Xenopus tropicalis: one gene and its partners. The protein of the gene in region 3 purifies or fractionates together with the protein of the main gene of each other region. This does not show direct contact. Links are inferred from orthologs where the notes say so. Each region holds a gene or a part of one and is shown on either strand. Other genes may lie near its edges.

What was found.
Region 1: the proteins of cd9 (region 3) and ptgfrn purify together in Homo sapiens (co-immunoprecipitation; 8 studies listed by BioGRID and IntAct, with this or other methods). This does not show direct contact. The link is inferred for Xenopus tropicalis from reciprocal best matches to the Homo sapiens genes CD9 and PTGFRN.
Region 2: the proteins of cd9 (region 3) and itga6 purify together in Homo sapiens (co-immunoprecipitation; 3 studies listed by BioGRID and IntAct, with this or other methods). This does not show direct contact. The link is inferred for Xenopus tropicalis from reciprocal best matches to the Homo sapiens genes CD9 and ITGA6.

What each region holds. Positions count from the first base shown.
Region 1 is NC_030678.2:431,469-437,404, forward strand, and holds the start of ptgfrn (prostaglandin F2 receptor negative regulator), read right to left. Parts: upstream 3,543-5,936; 5' UTR 3,305-3,542; coding exon 3,247-3,304; intron 1-3,246. UniProt on the Homo sapiens protein: Inhibits the binding of prostaglandin F2-alpha (PGF2-alpha) to its specific FP receptor, by decreasing the receptor number rather than the affinity constant. Functional coupling with the prostaglandin F2-alpha receptor seems to occur.
Region 2 is NC_030685.2:67,285,413-67,290,888, forward strand, and holds part of itga6 (integrin alpha-6), read right to left. Parts: intron 4,061-5,476; coding exon 3,929-4,060; intron 2,142-3,928; coding exon 1,928-2,141; intron 105-1,927; coding exon 1-104. UniProt on the Homo sapiens protein: Integrin alpha-6/beta-1 (ITGA6:ITGB1) is a receptor for laminin on platelets. Integrin alpha-6/beta-1 (ITGA6:ITGB1) is present in oocytes and is involved in sperm-egg fusion.
Region 3 is NC_030679.2:18,568,619-18,574,822, forward strand, and holds the start of cd9 (CD9 antigen), read right to left. Parts: upstream 4,146-6,204; 5' UTR 4,098-4,145; coding exon 4,032-4,097; intron 1-4,031. UniProt on the Homo sapiens protein: Integral membrane protein associated with integrins, which regulates different processes, such as sperm-egg fusion, platelet activation and aggregation, and cell adhesion.

The DNA of each region.
Region 1 (5,936 bases), on a different chromosome or scaffold from region 3:
AGGGGGGTAGGGGGTAATTAGGGGTATTACTCACTGAGGGACAGGGGGGTAGGGGGTAATTAGGGGTATTACTCACTGAGGGACAGGGGGGTAGGGGGTAATTAGGGGTATTACTCACTGAGGGACAGGGGGGTAGGGGGTAATTAGGGGTATTACTCACTGAGGGACAGGGGGGTAGGGGGTAATTAGGGGTATTACTCACTGAGGGACAGGGGGGTAGGGGGTAATTAGGGTATTACTCACTGAGGGACAGGGGGGTAGGGGGTAATTAGGGGTATTACTCACTGAGGGACAGGGGGGTAGGGGGTAATTAGGGGTATTACTCACTGAGGGACAGGGGGGTAGGGGGGTAATTAGGGGTATTACTCACTTGAGGGACAGGGGGGTAGGGGGTAATTAGGGGTATTACTCACTGAGGGACAGGGGGGTAGGGGGTAATTAGGGGTATTACCCCTGAGGGACAGGGGGGTAGGGGGGTAATTAGGGGTATTACTCCACTGAGGGACCAGGGGGGTAGGGGGTAATTATGGGGTATTACTCACTGAGGGGGGGGACAGGGGGGGTAGGGGGTAATTAATGGGGTATTACCACTGAGGGACAGGGGGGTAGGGGGGTAATTAGGGGTATTACTCACTGAGGGACAGGGGGGTAGGGGGGTACATTAGGGGTATTACTCACTGAGGGACAGGGGGGTAGGGGGTAATAGGGGTATTACTCACTGAGGGACAGGGGGGTAGGGGGTAATTTAGGGGGTTATTACCCTTCCACTTGAGGGACAGGGGGGTAGGGGGTAATTAGGGGGTATTAACCACTGGAGGGAGCAGGGGGGTAGGGGGTAATTAGGGGTATTACTCACTGAGCGACAGGGGGGTAATTAGGGGTATTACTCCACTGAGGGACAGGGGGGTAGGGGGGTACTTAGGGGTATTACTCACGAGGGACAGGGGGGTAATTAGGGGTATTACTCACTGAGGGACAGGGGGGTTAGGGGGTAATTAGGGGTATTACTCACTGAGGGACAGGGGGGTAATTAGGGGTATTACTCACTGAGGGACAGGGGGGTAGGGGGTAATTAGGGGTATTACTCACTGAGGGACAGGGGGGGTAATTAGGGGTATTACTCACTGAGGGACAGGGGGGTAGGGGGGTAATTAGGGGTATTACTCACTGAGGGACAGGGGGGGTAATTAGGGGTATTACTCACTGAGGGACAGGGGGGTAGGGGGTAATTAGGGGTATTACTCACTGAGGGACAGGGGGGTAGGGGGTAATTAGGGGTATTACTCACTGAGGGACAGGGGGGTAGGGGGTAATTATGGGGTATTACTCACTGAGGGACAGGGGGGTAGGGGGTAATTAGGGGTATTACTCACTGAGGGACAGGGGGGTAATTAAGGGTATTACTCACTGAGGGACAGGGGGGTAGGGGGGTAATTAGGGGTATTACTCACTGAGGGACAGGGGGGTAATTAGGGGTATTACTTCACTGAGGGACAGGGGGTAGGGGGTAATTAGGGGTATTACTCACTGAGGGACAGGGGGGTAATTAGGGGTATTACTCACTGAGGGACAGGGGGGTAGGGGGTAATTAGGGTATTACTCACTGAGGGACAGGGGGGTAATTAGGGGTATTACTCACTGAGGGACAGGGGGGTAGGGGGTAATTAGGGGTATTACTCACTGAGGGACAGGGGTAATTAGGGGTATTACTCACTGAGGGACAGGGGGTAGGGGGTAATTAGGGGTATTACTCACTGAGGGACAGGGGGGTAGGGGGTAATTAGGGGTATTACTCACTGAGGGACAGGGGGGTAATTAGGGGTATTACTCACTGAGGGACAGGGGGGTAGGGGGTAATTAGGGGTATTACTCACTGAGGGACAGGGGGGTAGGGGGTAATTAGGGGTATTACTCACTGAGGGACAGGGGGGTAGGGGGTAATTAGGGGTATTACTCACTGAGGGACAGGGGGTAGGGGTAATTATGGGTATTACTCACTGAGGGACAGGGGGGTAGGGGGTAATTAGGGGTATTACTCACTGAGGGACAGGGGGGTAATTAGGGGTATTACTCACTGAGGGACAGGGGGGTAGGGGGGTAATTAGGGGTATTACTCACTGAGGGACAGGGGGGTAATTAGGGGTATTACTCACTGAGGGACAGGGGGGTAGGGGGTAATTAGGGGTATTACTCACTGAGGGACAGGGGGGTAATTAGGGGTATTACTCACTGAGGGACAGGGGGGTAGGGGTAATTAGGGGTATTACTCACTGAGGGACAGGGGGGTAATTAGGGGTATTACTCACTGAGGGACAGGGGGGTAGGGGGTAATTAGGGGTATTACTCACTGAGGGACAGGGGGGTAATTAGGGGTATTACTCACTGAGGGACAGGGGGGTAGGGGGTAATTAGGGGTATTACTCACTGAGGGACAGGGGGGTAGGGGGTAATTAGGGGTATTACTCACTGAGGGACAGGGGGGTAATTAGGGGTATTACTCACTGAGGGACAGGGGGGTAGGGGGGTAATTAGGGGTATTACTCACTGAGGGACAGGGGGGTAGGGGGGTAATTAGGGGTATTACTCACTGAGGGACAGGGGGGTAGGGGGGTAATTAGGGGTATTACTCACTGAGGGACAGGGGGGTAGGGGGGTAATTAGGGGTATTACTCACTGAGGGACAGGGGGGTAGGGGGTAATTATGGGGTATTACTCACTGAGGGACAGGGGGGTAGGGGGGTAATTAGGGGTATTACTCACTGAGGGACAGGGGGGTAGGGGGTAATTAGGGGTATTACTCACTGAGGGACAGGGGGGTAGGGGGGTAATTAGGGGTATTACTCACTGAGGGACAGGGGGGTAGGGGGGTAATTAGGGGTATTACTCACTGAGGGACAGGGGGGTAATTAGGGGTATTACTCACTGAGGGACAGGGGGGTAGGGGGGTAATTAGGGGTATTACTCACTGAGGGACAGGGGGGTAATTAGGGGTATTACTCACTGAGGGACAGGGGGGTAGGGGGGTAAGTCCCAGGAGAGGGAGAGGGACTGACCCACAGAGCTTACACTCTAAGGACACACAAAGAGGGATAGGCTCCTCCTACTCGCCCCTGGGTCCCGCCCCCACAAAGTGACCAAGTGCAGGGAAGTTAATGGGGATCAGACACTAATGCTCCCGCCAGGCCCGCTGTTACAGTACGGGGCAAGAGACAGAGCGGTGGGTCGGGGGCGGGGCTCGGTACTTACCGGCACGGAGGAGGAGGAGGAAGAAGTAGAAGAGGAACAGCCGCCCCGGTAGCCGCATGGTCACTCCGAGCTTTCCCCTCACTCTCTGTGGGACGCTACCAGCTGGGGCGGGGCCTCTGGCGCTACTACTGCCCGCCCCTTCCCCGCACCCCTCCCTTCTACTACATTACGTCACCCACTCCAGGTGCTCATGTCACCTGTCCGTAACACCCAATCAGCGCACTGCCCCGCCCCATCACTGGCGGATGTGCCCTTACGGAAGGTTTGAGCGAAGGAATGCGGGGATTTCAGCTGTGTTTTAGTTGTTCTGTGGCTCACACACTAGTGTCTTACCCTGCCCCCTAGTGGGCCCTCTCTGTGCTTTCATTCCTACCCACAATCCCCTGTCTTACCCCCACTCTGGGCTTCATTCCTACCCACAATCCCCTGTCTTACCCCCACTCTGGGCTTCATTCCTACCCACAATCCCCTGTCTTACCCCTACTCTGGGCTTCATTCCTACCCACAATCCCCTGTCTTACCCCCACTCTGGGCTTCATTCCTACCCACAATCCCCTGTCTTACCCCCACTCTGGGCTTCATTCCTACCCACAATCCCCTGTCTTACCCCTACTCTGGGCTTCATTCCTACCCACAATCCCCTGTCTTACCCCTACTCTGTGCTTTCATTCCTACCCACAATCCCCTGTCTTACCCCCACTCTGGGCTTCATTCTACCACAATCCCCTGTCTTACCCCTACTCTGGGCTTCATTCCTACCCACAATCCCCTGTCTTACCCCTACTCTGGGCTTCATTCCTACCCACAATCCCCTGTCTTACCCCTACTCTGGGCTTCATTCCTACCCACAATCCCCTGTCTTACCCCTACTCTGGGCTTCATTCCTACCCACAATCCCCTGTCTTACCCCTACTCTGGGCTTCATTCCTACCCACAATCCCCTGTCTTACCCCTACTCTGGGCTTCATTCCTACCCACAATCCCCTGTCTTACCCCTACTCTGGGCTTCATTCCTAACCCACAATCCCCTGTCTTAACCCCTACTCTGGCTTCATTCCTACCCACAATCCCCTGTCTTACCCCTACTCTGGGCTTCATTCCTACCACAATCCCCTGTCTTACCCCTACTCTGGGCTTCATTCCTACCACAATCCCCTGTCTTACCCCTACTCTGGGCTTCATTCCTACCCCACAATCCCCTGTCTTACCCCTACTCTGTGCTTTCATTCCTACCCACAATCCCCTGTCTTACCCCCACTCTGGCTTCATTCCTACCCACAATCCCCTGTCTTACCCCTACTCTGGGCTTCATTCCTACCCACAATCCCCTGTCTTACCCCTACTCTGGGCTTCATTCCTACCCACAATCCCCTGTCTTACCCCTACTCTGGGCTTCATTCCTACCCACAATCCCCTGTCTTACCCCCACTCTGGGCTTCATTCCTACCCACAATCCCCTGTCTTACCCCTACTCTGGGCTTCATTCCCTACCCACAATCCCCTGTCTTACCCCTACTCTGGGCTTCATTCCTACCCACAATCCCCTGTCTTACCCCCACTCTGGCTTCATTCCTACCCACAATCCCCTGTCTTACCCCCACTCTGGGCTTCATTCCTACCCACAATCCCTGTCTTACCCCTACTCTGGGCTTCATTCCTACCCACAATCCCCTGTCTTACCCCCACTCTGGGCCTTCATTCCTACCCACAATCCCCTGTCTTACCCTACTCTGGGCTTCATTCCTACCCCACAATCCCCTGTCTTACCCCTACTCTGGGCTTCATTCCTACCCACAATCCCCTGTCTTACCCCTACTTGGGCTCATTCTACCCAACCCCTGTTTACCCCTACTCTGGGCTTCATTCCTACCCACAATCCCCTGTCTTACCCCTACTCTGGGCTTCATTCCTACCCACAATCCCCTGTCTTACCCCTACTCTGGGCTTCATTCTACCCACAATCCCCTGTCTTACCCTATCTGGGCTTCATTCCTACCCACAATCCCCTGTCTTACCCCTACTCTGGGCTTCATTCCTACCACAATCCCTGTCTTACCCCCCTCTGGGCTTCATTCCTACCCCACAATCCCCTGTCTTACCCCTACTCTGGGCTTCATTCCTACCCACAATCCCTGTCTTACCCCTACTCTGGCTTCATTCCTACCCACAATCCCCTGTCTTACCCCTACTCTGGGCTTCATTCCTACCCACAATCCCCTGTCTTACCCCTACTCTGGGCTTCATTCCTACCCACAATCCCCTGTCTTACCCCTACTCTGGGCTTCATTCCTACCCACAATCCCCTGTCTTACCCCTACTCTGGGCTTCATTCCTACCCCACAATCCCCTGTCTTACCCCTACTCTGGGGCTTCATTCCTACCCACAATCCCCTGTCTTACCCCTACTCTGGGCTTCATTCCTACCCCACAATCCCCTGTCCTTACCCCTACTCTGGGCTTCATTCCTACCCACAATCCCCTGTCTTACCCCTACTCTGGGCTTCATTCCTACCCACAATCCCCTGTCTTACCCCTACTCTGGGCTTCATTCCTACCCACAATCCCCTGTCTTACCCCTACTCTGGGCTTCATTCCTACCCACAATCCCCTGTCTTACCCCTACTCTGGGCTTCATTCCTACCCACAATCCCCTGTCTTACCCCTACTCTGGGCTTCATTCCTACCCACAA
Region 2 (5,476 bases), on a different chromosome or scaffold from region 3:
CATTCCAATTTCCCTGTTGATTTATATAGACATAAATGGCGCCTCCTATTTCTCTGTCATTTTTATCAAAATATTGGGGAGCACCAACAACAATATCCTTCCACCTGAGAAAAAAAAAAAGAAAAACATTTACCAGGACTGTCGTTACAAAAGTAAAGCACTGTTAATAACTTTCTGTGTATGATTACATGCATACAGTAATTAAGGGCTAATGGAATTTGTGTCAACATGAACCATTTTAATGCAATGGGTTAATGGGTTCTTTTCCTGTTCATGTCAATTCACTGCACTTATTAAGTTTGATCACTAGAGGGCACAGAGAATCCACATTTGCAGTTAAGATAGTAGAAGAGGCCCCTCAGTTACTGGAGGTTAGGGGAATGTCCTGAGAAGATCTAAATGAGGGATAATATACTAAAGCTGTTAAGCTGATCTAACCTGGGAAGCTAACTAACGCCAAGGGAATATACCTCAGTAGTGGTTCCTAAGTGAGAGTCAAAACTTTATCAGTACTTCTGACTAGTCAAGCCAGCAAGCTACTGCAGTGCTCATGTTAGAGGGTGGGCGTAAGGAACAAGCCGAATAGCAAAGGACCCTATCAATACGAGACCACAAAGCCAGCGATAGTGAAATCCCTATAAGCTGCTCCCGGTGGAGACTTTTTAATGTTTGCTGGATGGCCTGATCACCCTGGTATGGAATGAGGTCTCTTTGAGGACGAATATGCAGGTTTGAGTGAGGAGGCAACCATTGACGGTCTACTATGAACACAGGCATTTACAAATTAAATGGCTAATGGTGGTTGCCTCTGCCACCTATGTTTGATACCTGCCAGGTTTATCTGAATGACTAGTATGACTAGTATGACTGTACTAGTTATACAGGTACCTGTATGACTTCATGCCAGTTTTGGTAAATAAAAGCGAGTGGAGGACTGGTATCTTTCCCAGTGGCAACACTAAAAACACCCCACTGATGGCTGTGCATGGGTGCAAATGAATAGACAATAGCACCAAGCTTCCTTAGTAAACCAGTCACAGTGTATCTCATTGTCAGGTAACAGGGTTTTTCTGCAAGAGCTTGAGATTACTGGTTGAAATGACTTTTCTCATTTTAACATTAAGAATCCACTGGATCTTCTAAACACCTTCTTCACAGTCAGGAGAAAGACTGCAACAATCAATGCATTATCAAAGCAGAGGGGTTTGTCAATTGAGAATACATTTTTTTGCTTCAATGATACACCCAACTGTATCAACACTAACCAAAAATGAAAAAGTTAATAGCGGGAAAGACAATTTGAAAAACAAATTTGCACAATTGGGAAACAGCTCTTTTGCACACTGTAACCTAGAATTTAAGAGAGAAAGGGAAAAATCTAACTGGATTTTAATAAATAATATAGCTATATCCTTCATAAACTGGCCTCTACGTGTTTCAGGGTCTGTGCCTCTCAGGCGCACATCCATAGCCCTAACAGCCGTATGCACAGGAAGGATATGAGCCTGACCTGGAGATTAAAATAAAAGCAGATCTGTGGAACAGTGTCAGAGAAAAGAATTTGTGCAATTCACTTTGTGTTTCCTGACAAATTCTTATCTGTGTTTCTTTTTCTTAACACCATTAACAGAGTGCGGGGATAATGACAACTGAAAGGCGGTGGCACAGAAGAACATGAATCACTTGCCTGACAGCTCATGTTGGTAACACATGACCAATAAGTGATAATATCAGTAAGCCACACTTTGCTGTTTTTGTGCTCACACAATTGAATAAAAAGTAACCATTTGAGCACACGCGGCCAACAGGAAATTGGAGAAACACTGCCCAGGCACATAACAAGTCTTGCTTGAAATCACAAGTCTCTGGCATAGGTACTGACAGAACTACCATTGAGCTTTCATGGCTTATACACAAGCAGCCTTACCCATCTCTATTAAGATCGACCACCGCTACATCATAACCAAAGGAAGACGCCAGCCCTTCTCCTTGAAATGTATGTACAGCAGACAACATCCTCTCATTGGGTGGAAACTTTTGCAGCAGGACTACAGCCCCACTGTGATTGGCTCGCGGGGCTCCAGAAACAAAAGTCATTTCTTCCTTGGACGTTATCCCTCGCCCGGTATCCAAAGAAAATCCTACAAATTAAAGCCAGAGAAGACTGGAATAAGATAAATCTCACTTCGCTTTATGATGGTCTGCAGCTTAAAGGGATCATTATTTACAATACTACGTTTTACTCCTATAATTAAAATTAATATCACCAGCACTGTAAACTTGTTAAACCAGTCTCTGCAGTCTCACTCAGAAATCAGCCCAGTAGTCTTAAGCATCCCTTGATCTCATATTCTTGTTGGTGTCATTGCTGGGGGGGTGGAAGTGGACCAGATGGAGACTGATCCAGAATGAGATTCAAAATAGTACCTGGCATTTCAAGTAAAGAGAGGTCCAAACAGGCCCCACCAGGATCAATAAATATTGGTTGTCTGTGGCATCTTATGGCAGCTACTCTGGCATTTGCCAGAATCTATAGATTGCTCCAAGCTTTAATGGAGAAAGTAGCCCTTTTTATCATGTCTCTGCAACACCGCTTTGGTGATGTCAAAGACTGGCAGAAAGAGAACCTGAACAGCTAGCTTTGCACAACTGATATGGCTAAAGTCAATTAATTTTATTCAATGACCTGTTTTAGAAAACTATTTACTAAAGTAAAAATATTCTTCCTATTTTGGGAGTATCTACAGAACTGGGTTAAAAATTAGGGTAATGATGCTGATAATAATCCCTTTAAGTAAATACAATTAACATGCAATAAATGAACATGGTGTCTTCATTACCAGAAAGGAGCCACTCTGTTGTAGACACGTGTCTCTCAATAACATCATTTATAAGAAATAACTCAGTGCATGCATTTTGATGATACCATGCTGCTATACCAGGGATAAGTCACCTAAAGCCCCCCAGATTTGCTGAAGGACATCTGGAGCCACAGGTGTCCCATGTCTGGAGCAACACCAAGATGGAGGCTGCAAAAATGTAAAGGAATGGAGCAAATATATTTATGCCATGTATAAACTTAATTTTGCCTATGTGTTTCAAGGTACAACTAAATATGGGGTGAATTAAGTAGGAGAATATTAACAGATGTGTATATGCTTGAATTATTTTCAGTTAACCTATGCAAACAGATATAACATGGCTTAGTTTTGAGAGATTTAATATACAGTATTCTCCAATAGGATTTTAGTATTTGTTGTCTAAGTGACCATGAAACACATGTACACTAAATACGAAAAGCAGGAATATCTCCCTCCTGATATTGTGGAGATGAAACTGACAGGGGTGATGCTGGGTATGGTATTTCAATTCTATTTACGCTATTACATGTATGTAGAAATGCATCATGGGATGAGCACGCAGGAAGTGTGAGTGGCCAGAATGGTTTGCCAGTGATGCCACAGGTGACGTATCAATGGAAAGAGTTTCTGCAGCCAGTTACCACCAACCTAGGTAGCTATTAGTCATCACATCAACGGTTTTCTCCGACCTGGCTCTGGGGGGCCCAGATTTGTACAAAAACTGGTCTGGATCAGTATTGGACATGGTTGTCATGAACAGAAGGCCTATACGTACGTATGAAGTCCCAGAAGAAAGAGAAAGCAGATAGAGAGACAGCAAGGTTACGGAAACACAGACACAAGCCAGTCCTTGATGACATTATTAGAGCAACCCAGTGATACAAAGTACAACTGTCCAATGCTAGAAATGTAAATGTGTTCCTCCTGCTTCTGAATTCCAACTCACAGTATCCCTACTCTTACAGGGTGCTGGGATTTGTAGCTCAATAAGAAATGGAAGGCTGCTGATTAAACTACAGTCTTGCAGTTTGTTCCAAAAGGGCTTTGTAGCCTCAGACTATTATTACCTAAGTAACTGTTATCTGGTGCAGGAACTAAATCTGAATCTCGTTTGTTTTCACCACCAGTTTCATAAGGTCCATCTTCAAAAATAAACAAGTCTTCTAAAGTGTTATTTTTTTGTTCTGCCCGGACCACTCCTAAAGGATGAAATGAAAAATTATAAATAAAAATAAAGAAAGACACTGGAAATGAGTGAAAAGGAGTAGTTCACCTTTAAAATACCTTTAAAGGAACAGTAACACCAAAAAATGAAATTGTTTTAAAGTAATAAAAATATTATTTACTGTTGCCCTGCACTGGTGAAACTAGTATGTTTGCTAAAGAATCGCAACCATAGTTTATATAAATACCCTGCTGTGTAGCCATGGGGGCAGCCATTCAAGCTGGAAAAAAGGAGAAAAGGCACAGGTATTATCTGTTATCCGCTAATTAACCTGTGGCATTCCTCCTTTGAATGGCTGCCCCCGTGGCTACACAGCAGCTTTGTTTATATAAACTATAGTAGTGTTTCTGAGGCAAACACACCAGTTGCACCAGCACAAGGCAACAGTACATTATACTATAATTACTTTTATACATGTTCATATTTTGGTGTTCCTTTAAGTATGATATAAACAGTAATATTAAGGAGGTTGCTAGGGTCCACTTTACCCTAGGAACCATGTAATGGTTTGACTGAAATACTGAAAGATGCATAAAAGAGGGCCTGAGTAGACATAAATGTACTAAAAAGTAACAATACCAAATTATATACAGTATAAAACAAAATAATAGCCTCACAGAGCTGGGTCAGTGACTCCTATTTCAAAGCTGCAGAGTGGCAGAAGAAGAAGCAAATTATTAAATAACTGTAAAAAATTAAGACCAGTTAAAGTTACTAAGAACAGTACATTCTACAACATATAAAAATAACTTAAAGGTGAACTACCCCTTTAAAAAGTGCACAACTCAATACATGAAAATAATGTAAAAGGGCAGTGAATCACATGATGTATGGAAGCAAAATGCAGAGATTAACTTCAAATCACTTCTAATTAAAGGCAATAATATCTGGGTCCATTTTGACCCCAGAATTCTGTAACTGCTCAGAGGTGATTTAAGGCCCCGCTTGGGGTACAATGTAATAAGAGGTGAACAGTTTGCCAGATTCACTAACCCATATGAAATGCTTGTTTGCTAATAACAGACTAGATGCTGAGCAATCTTTCCTCCTGTTATTAACGGCCCTTATTCCTTTGCCTTCCATATAACACCACTCACCACAGTGAGAATGACGAACTGTTATTTTAAATGCATAAATAAAGACTTAAATGGACATTGGACTACAAATGCTGTGTACAAAACATGGATAAAATAAGGATAACATGAGAAATGACATGCTGCCCAAGTGACTTGAATAGTTAAGAGTACTCCTAATTGTTCATCCTGTCACATAAAAACATGAGACTGTATATCCTGTCATCTTACGTGTCCTATAAAATCTCATTCCCTATTGGGTCAACAGTATACTAATATTGAGTTATGTTCAAAATGGTGTCACAACTGTAGGAGAC
Region 3 (6,204 bases):
TACAAGACAGCTTCCGGGTCTCCTGTTGCCTGAAGTTAATTACCCTGTATGATCCCATCTTCTCTCCTGCATGTTTTTCCTCTGCTCAGATCTAGGTAAGCAGTAGGGACAGGCACCCATGTGCAGGGAGGTTCTTGCCTTATTACATAAGGGCCAATAAAAGAACAGGTGTCCCTCCAATCTAGTAAATGAAAACTACAGGGTGGAACATAAACTCACTGTAAACCTTTACCTAAAAAAAAAAAAACAACCCCCAAACAAAACAATATTTTTATTATAAAGCAGCAGTGCTTTCACACTTAGATACTAAGCCCTGTATAAGCAACTCCATCCCTTCAACCTTCACAGTTTTGTTAGCAGGAGTTTATTATGCAGGGAGGATTTAGTTTAGAAAATAGCACTATTTATTTTTTTCAAACAGGTAAAAACTATGTTCAGCCCAAGCCCTTTTTACTGCATGTTCAACAAAGGTTGTATACTGCCCCTTTAACTGGCTATGTGTATGGTTAAATATGTATGTTTAATAGCAACATCAGCAATAATGGGTGCCAGGAAGAGCTTCTGGAAATCAAACACTAATACTATTACTATTAAAGGGCAACTGGAGATCAGTAGAAATAAAGTCCCCTGTAACACTTGAACTTGAACAACACTATGAACATAATATCTCCCAAAGGCCTTGAACGATTTCTATGTTCGCATGGCCTGTGTAGTTACAACAGTAAGCAACAACATACAAGGGGGTCTACCTTGACAGTAGAGTACAGAGATAGTGTGGAGGTGAGTATATTTATTGGCATAGGTCTGCAGCCTTTTTAAACTGATACACCAGCCCTGCTTTTGTGTCAAAGCACTGCACATCATTCAAAACACATTCTAAAGTTGCCCTTTTGCAAGCAAAGAACATTTTGGGGAAGTATGTCTCAGGGGTTAGGTCACTGAACTGAATCAGGGAGGGTGGGTTCAGTTATCTGAAGCTTCCGATGTAAGTTCCTTCTGACTGAAGGGCAGCAGGCCTGGTAAGGAGGCAGCAAGTGCCTTAAACTGATGATCAGGGGTGGGAAACAATCCAGTTCCCTCCAAGTGATATCACATGCCAAAAGAACCGAAAGTTAGACGTCTCTAGAATCCATGGGAGTGCTGACGCTCATACAAATGTGACTCCATTACATAAAGGCTCACGCTAGTTATTAATTTTCACTAAACCAGTCAACTTTCATTCGATATTAAAGCAGGGGGCTTAACTTGGACTGACCATCATGCAATCCTATTTAGTGGCAGACTACTTAAGGGGAAGAATCTGTGACTGTGGGGCCCAGGGGGTGCTTCGAAGGGCAGTTTTTGGCAACACACAACTTTATAAATTGGGGGTAAGGCCCAGAAAATGTTTTTGTTAAGGCACTAATCCCAACAGATTATAGTTGATCACCCCAAAAAGACAATCCAGCAGGCTTATGCCTTCCGCTATCCATGGCTGTAACAGGGTGCAACAGTAGTGCTGTAGTACCCCTAGTTTGGCTTCCTGCAGCTCCGCCCCCCTGCTTTCCCTCGCTGGGCAGGGGCTTGCCTTGGCTGACTATAGTATTAGACCACAGGCATGTATGCAGGGCCAGAACTAATGTTAGTTACTATTTATGGGAAAAAGGGGGTTACAATTCCTATTAATGTGTAAAATATGTTTATGATACTATGCACACAAGCACATCAGTAGACCAGCTTAGGGTTGCAATCTGTCTGGTATTTTACCAGCCTGGATGGTAAAAATTATGCTTGATTCCAAAGTTATTAATAGGGAAGTAATATATATATATATATATATATATATATATATATATATATATATATATATATATATATAGTAGGCCGGTATTTTTTTTTTTCAGAAAAGATGGCAACCCTATACCAGCTCCTTGTCCTTCCTGCTCTGCATCCACCACTAACTCTTCCAGATGAAATAATGATAATGGGACATGTCGGGAGGTGGGGCCTTTAACCCTCCTGGGGTACATAAGGCATTGAATACTTTAGGGCTAACAGGGAACAATGAACCAAGTAATTAAGCACAACCGAAAATACATTTATAGTCTATCAGGCAATTATGTTCTAAAGGTTCAGCGCTGTCCCACTTGTTGACAAATTCTAAGCACCCTGGGAGCCAGCAACCAGGGATCAGAATATGGGGCGCCTAAAACAGTTTAACCTATTCCCTGCCACTCCTAAGCTGACTTTCATCTGTTTTTTTCTGTCTGTGCAGTGCATACAGGCAACTGAGAAGTTGGCAGGTTGGGTTGGGGGGGGGGGGTGGTATACCAAAAACCACACTAAAAGAGTGACTTATATTAATGTTTAACCCTATCCTTCCTGCCTTTCTCTTGGCACACAGCAAGCTCTGTAGCAAAAATAGCCTTCAATGCTGATCTGGGAGAGTAAAACAGGGCCTTTAAGCCAAATATTTACACAGGTGTTGCATGGATTGTCTCCAAAGGGGCAGGGACCTTCCACCCCAACACCTTGCATCAATTAATAATGGGATCACATTTCAATGAATCAATATAATGCCCACATATTCTGCAGCCCCACACCTATGTTTTCCTGTAGGATCCCAGCTGACACAATATAAACCCATATAATTCATGGTTAGTTCACAGCTCATTGTGACTGCACCAGTTTCTGCGCATGAAAATGTATTGCTGATACACGATTCAGCATGGGTACTGTCTGTCCAGTTTTAAAGGGGTATGGTGCCAACTCTAATACCATAACAGTGCATTTTTTGTGGTCAGGCACGACTATAATAACTAGGGCCATATCTGGTGTATGGTGGTGACCCTAAGGTAACAGTACAACTTTAGATACTTCAGTTGTTGCAGAACTGAAACCACGAGCAGGGCTACACCATATAAGCTGCTGCTGTTTGTCAACACTGGGGCACTGAACCTTGCCCTGCCCAAAAGCATTTGCTCCAGCACTGAAGGAGTTATTTATTATACCAAAAAAAAACCTACAAAACCCCATGCAGGCTTTCAGTGTAAACATTCCCCAATCCTGTTTAACCCTCCACAATCCACCACTAAGCAGTTTATACAGAGAAAAGAATACGGATATACACATGTATGTCTTATTTTAGATTATAAGCTCTGATCATTGTACGTTGTTTGATGTGTACACTCTCCTACTGTACAGCCCTAGGAAATATGATAGGGCTTAATAAATATGCATTAACAATAATGATGGGCAGATTTTAATGAAACCTGAGCCTCCCCAAACCAACACCAACGCATTTACTACAAGAAATAGGATTGAGATATTATACACAAGGTTGGCACCACATTCGCCATGTATTTTTGGGGCATTATATATGGAGCTGGCATTGTATTTATCCTGCCATGTGTTGTGGGGGAAATAAAACTGCCACTGTATCCTGTCATGTGTTCTGGGGTAATATATATGGAAATGGCACTGTATTTATCCTGTCATGTGTTCTGGGGTAATATATATGGGAACTGGCACTGTATTTATCCTGCCATGTGTTCTACCATGTAGAAAGGCTTATGTGACACTATGCTGTTTCTCTGCCTGCACAGAAACGCAGGCAGAGACACAGCCTAGTGTGACATTAGCCATAATGTCTTTAATTAGCTTGCCCAAACACCAAAGTCACCCTCCACCTAAGATAATATTAAAACTCATAGCTTTACAACAAGAAACTCTGAAATATGGAAATCATATTTCCCCCATTGAGCCATATTTAAGCATTTTCTCATTTTCTTCTGATTTTACAAGCAATACACATATAAACCTATACCTGTATATACTTATGCCCATATATAACTGTACGTGTACCTGTACTACAGCGAATCCCTAACATTAATACTGTTACAAATGTATCACTAACAGCCAGTCTGAGCCCCAGGCAGCAATGCTACAGCACTATATCCCTTTGCGAGCTCCAAACACGCCTTTCCGCCCAGGGCTCCTTCTACTCTCCCACACCCGAGTCCCCCCAGCAGAACCTACAGACCGAAACTCACCCAGAAGATGAAGTTGAAGGCAAACAGAAGGTATTTGATGCACTTGATCCCCCCTTTGACGGGCATGGTGGCACTTTCCGGCTGGCGAACTTTGATGAAGTTGTTGGATCGGTGGAAGAGAGAGAGCTGCGCAGGGTGTGTAAATCCTGATTTACTCGGAGTGTCCTACACCCACGCCCACACCTCTTGGCTAATAACGCTATATTTTGCGCCCCCTACAGGACACTGCTGGCATGGCTTCTACCCCACCTTTCCCTTCTCCTGCTCTTTCGCCTTTTGACTGATCAGGTTTGGATAATTACTAGTTGATTTCTATAACGAAAATTACAGTGTTGGACAAATAGCCAGATATTTAATGTTTTTTAATAAAGTACCCCACTTTCTTTTACTTTTTTTTAAAGAGATATATACAAGTGACATTGCACCAAGAGAGTCGTGTTAAAACCCCTTTAAACTTTATGATCAAGACATTATTATACTATTATTATTATACATGTATTGTGACAGTCAGTGCTTCACCCCTATACCAGGCCCCTTAGCAGTTTAATATCTGCTTACTCTATTACAGCCCCCCTCCCCAATATAGCATTATATATCATGATTAATAAATTATTATTATTATATAATTATATATAAATATATTATATATATTATATATTATATAATTATATATAAATTATAATGATTAATAAATATTGACTGCATTATCATATCATATAGCCAAAAGGCCGATGCAGATACTGTAATGCATAAAAAGGCCGCTGCATGGCCCAAGAGTAAGATTCGCTCATCTTTCCCTCAATATGCCAGCTTTAGGAGGGTGATATCGTGCTAATGTTATCACTTTGCCCTAGGGCCAAACAATTGAATTACAATTAAGGGGATACAAAAGTCTGGGCGAGGACTGCATCAATGAGCGGATGTGTTCCACAATCCGACAGAAAAATTAAGCCTGCCTGATCAGCATCTGCCCGATTGTTGACCAAATATAGGTTGGGGAGGCCTGTTGGGGGTCCCCATACATGGGCGGGTAAGCTGCTAAATCAGTTTAAAGGGCCCTAATTGCCCATGTATGGTGACCCCCAACTGCACTATTTGACTGATATCTGGCCCTAGGGCCAAACAATCGGATTACTCCTATATTGCCCACGTTAGGTGGGCATATTCGTGGAAAGATCCATTCCATCTCTTATGGATCTATGTTGTACCTCCAAACTCCATGGGTGTGAAGGGGTTTTTGGGTTTTGCCAACCTTTTGTCAATTTGTGATGCACTGAGTATTATATAGTACAGTATAATATTTTTGTTCTTACTTTTTCAAGCGATATACCTGATCTGAGGGGGTGTCAAACTATCATCTATGACCTAACTGTAACAAGTTTTTTTCAACTTCAAAAAGTTAATTCAGTTTTGAGGGCTGCTACCTGTTGGGGCAGTCAGAATACCCAGTCAGTATCACGGAGCAGGGACGGGGTGGTAGGGGGGCAGCCTGACTGCAGGTGGTCGGCACACATCACCTTTCTTTCAAAGGCAATGATAAGTATTTGTCAAAAATAAAAATGTTTCACAAAGCATTTTCCTTACATGGTTTTTATTTATCCAACGTTTCAGTTCTTCACATGAACTTTCTTCAGGGAGAAAGTTCCTGTGAGGAACTGAAACGTCGGATATATAAAAACCATGTAAGGAAAATGTTTTGTGAAACTTTTTTATTTTTGACAAATACTTATCAAAGTCCTGTGAGTGCTAGCCTTTATTGCATTTGTATTTTGTTATTTTGATTGCATAACCACCCAGGCAATGACTCCTTTTTAGGTGGTGTGCTACCTTTACTGGTACTGTATATATGTATATAAGTCCAGTTATCGGCACTCACCACACGATACAGTCAAAGGCCGGGTGCAAACCATTTATGATATTCTCTCCATCGAAGGCACTTACAGTATGCAGGCTATAAGAAGATTCTTTATTGGATGTCCAAATCTATGTGATCCTCAGCAGATCGAAACGCGTAGATTTGGACATCCAATAAAGAATCTTCTTATAGCCTGCATGCCATGAGTGCCTTCTATGGAGAGTATATATATATATATGTATATTTATATATATATATATATATATATATATACATACATACAGTATATATATATATCAGTTCTGGTGCATCACTGCT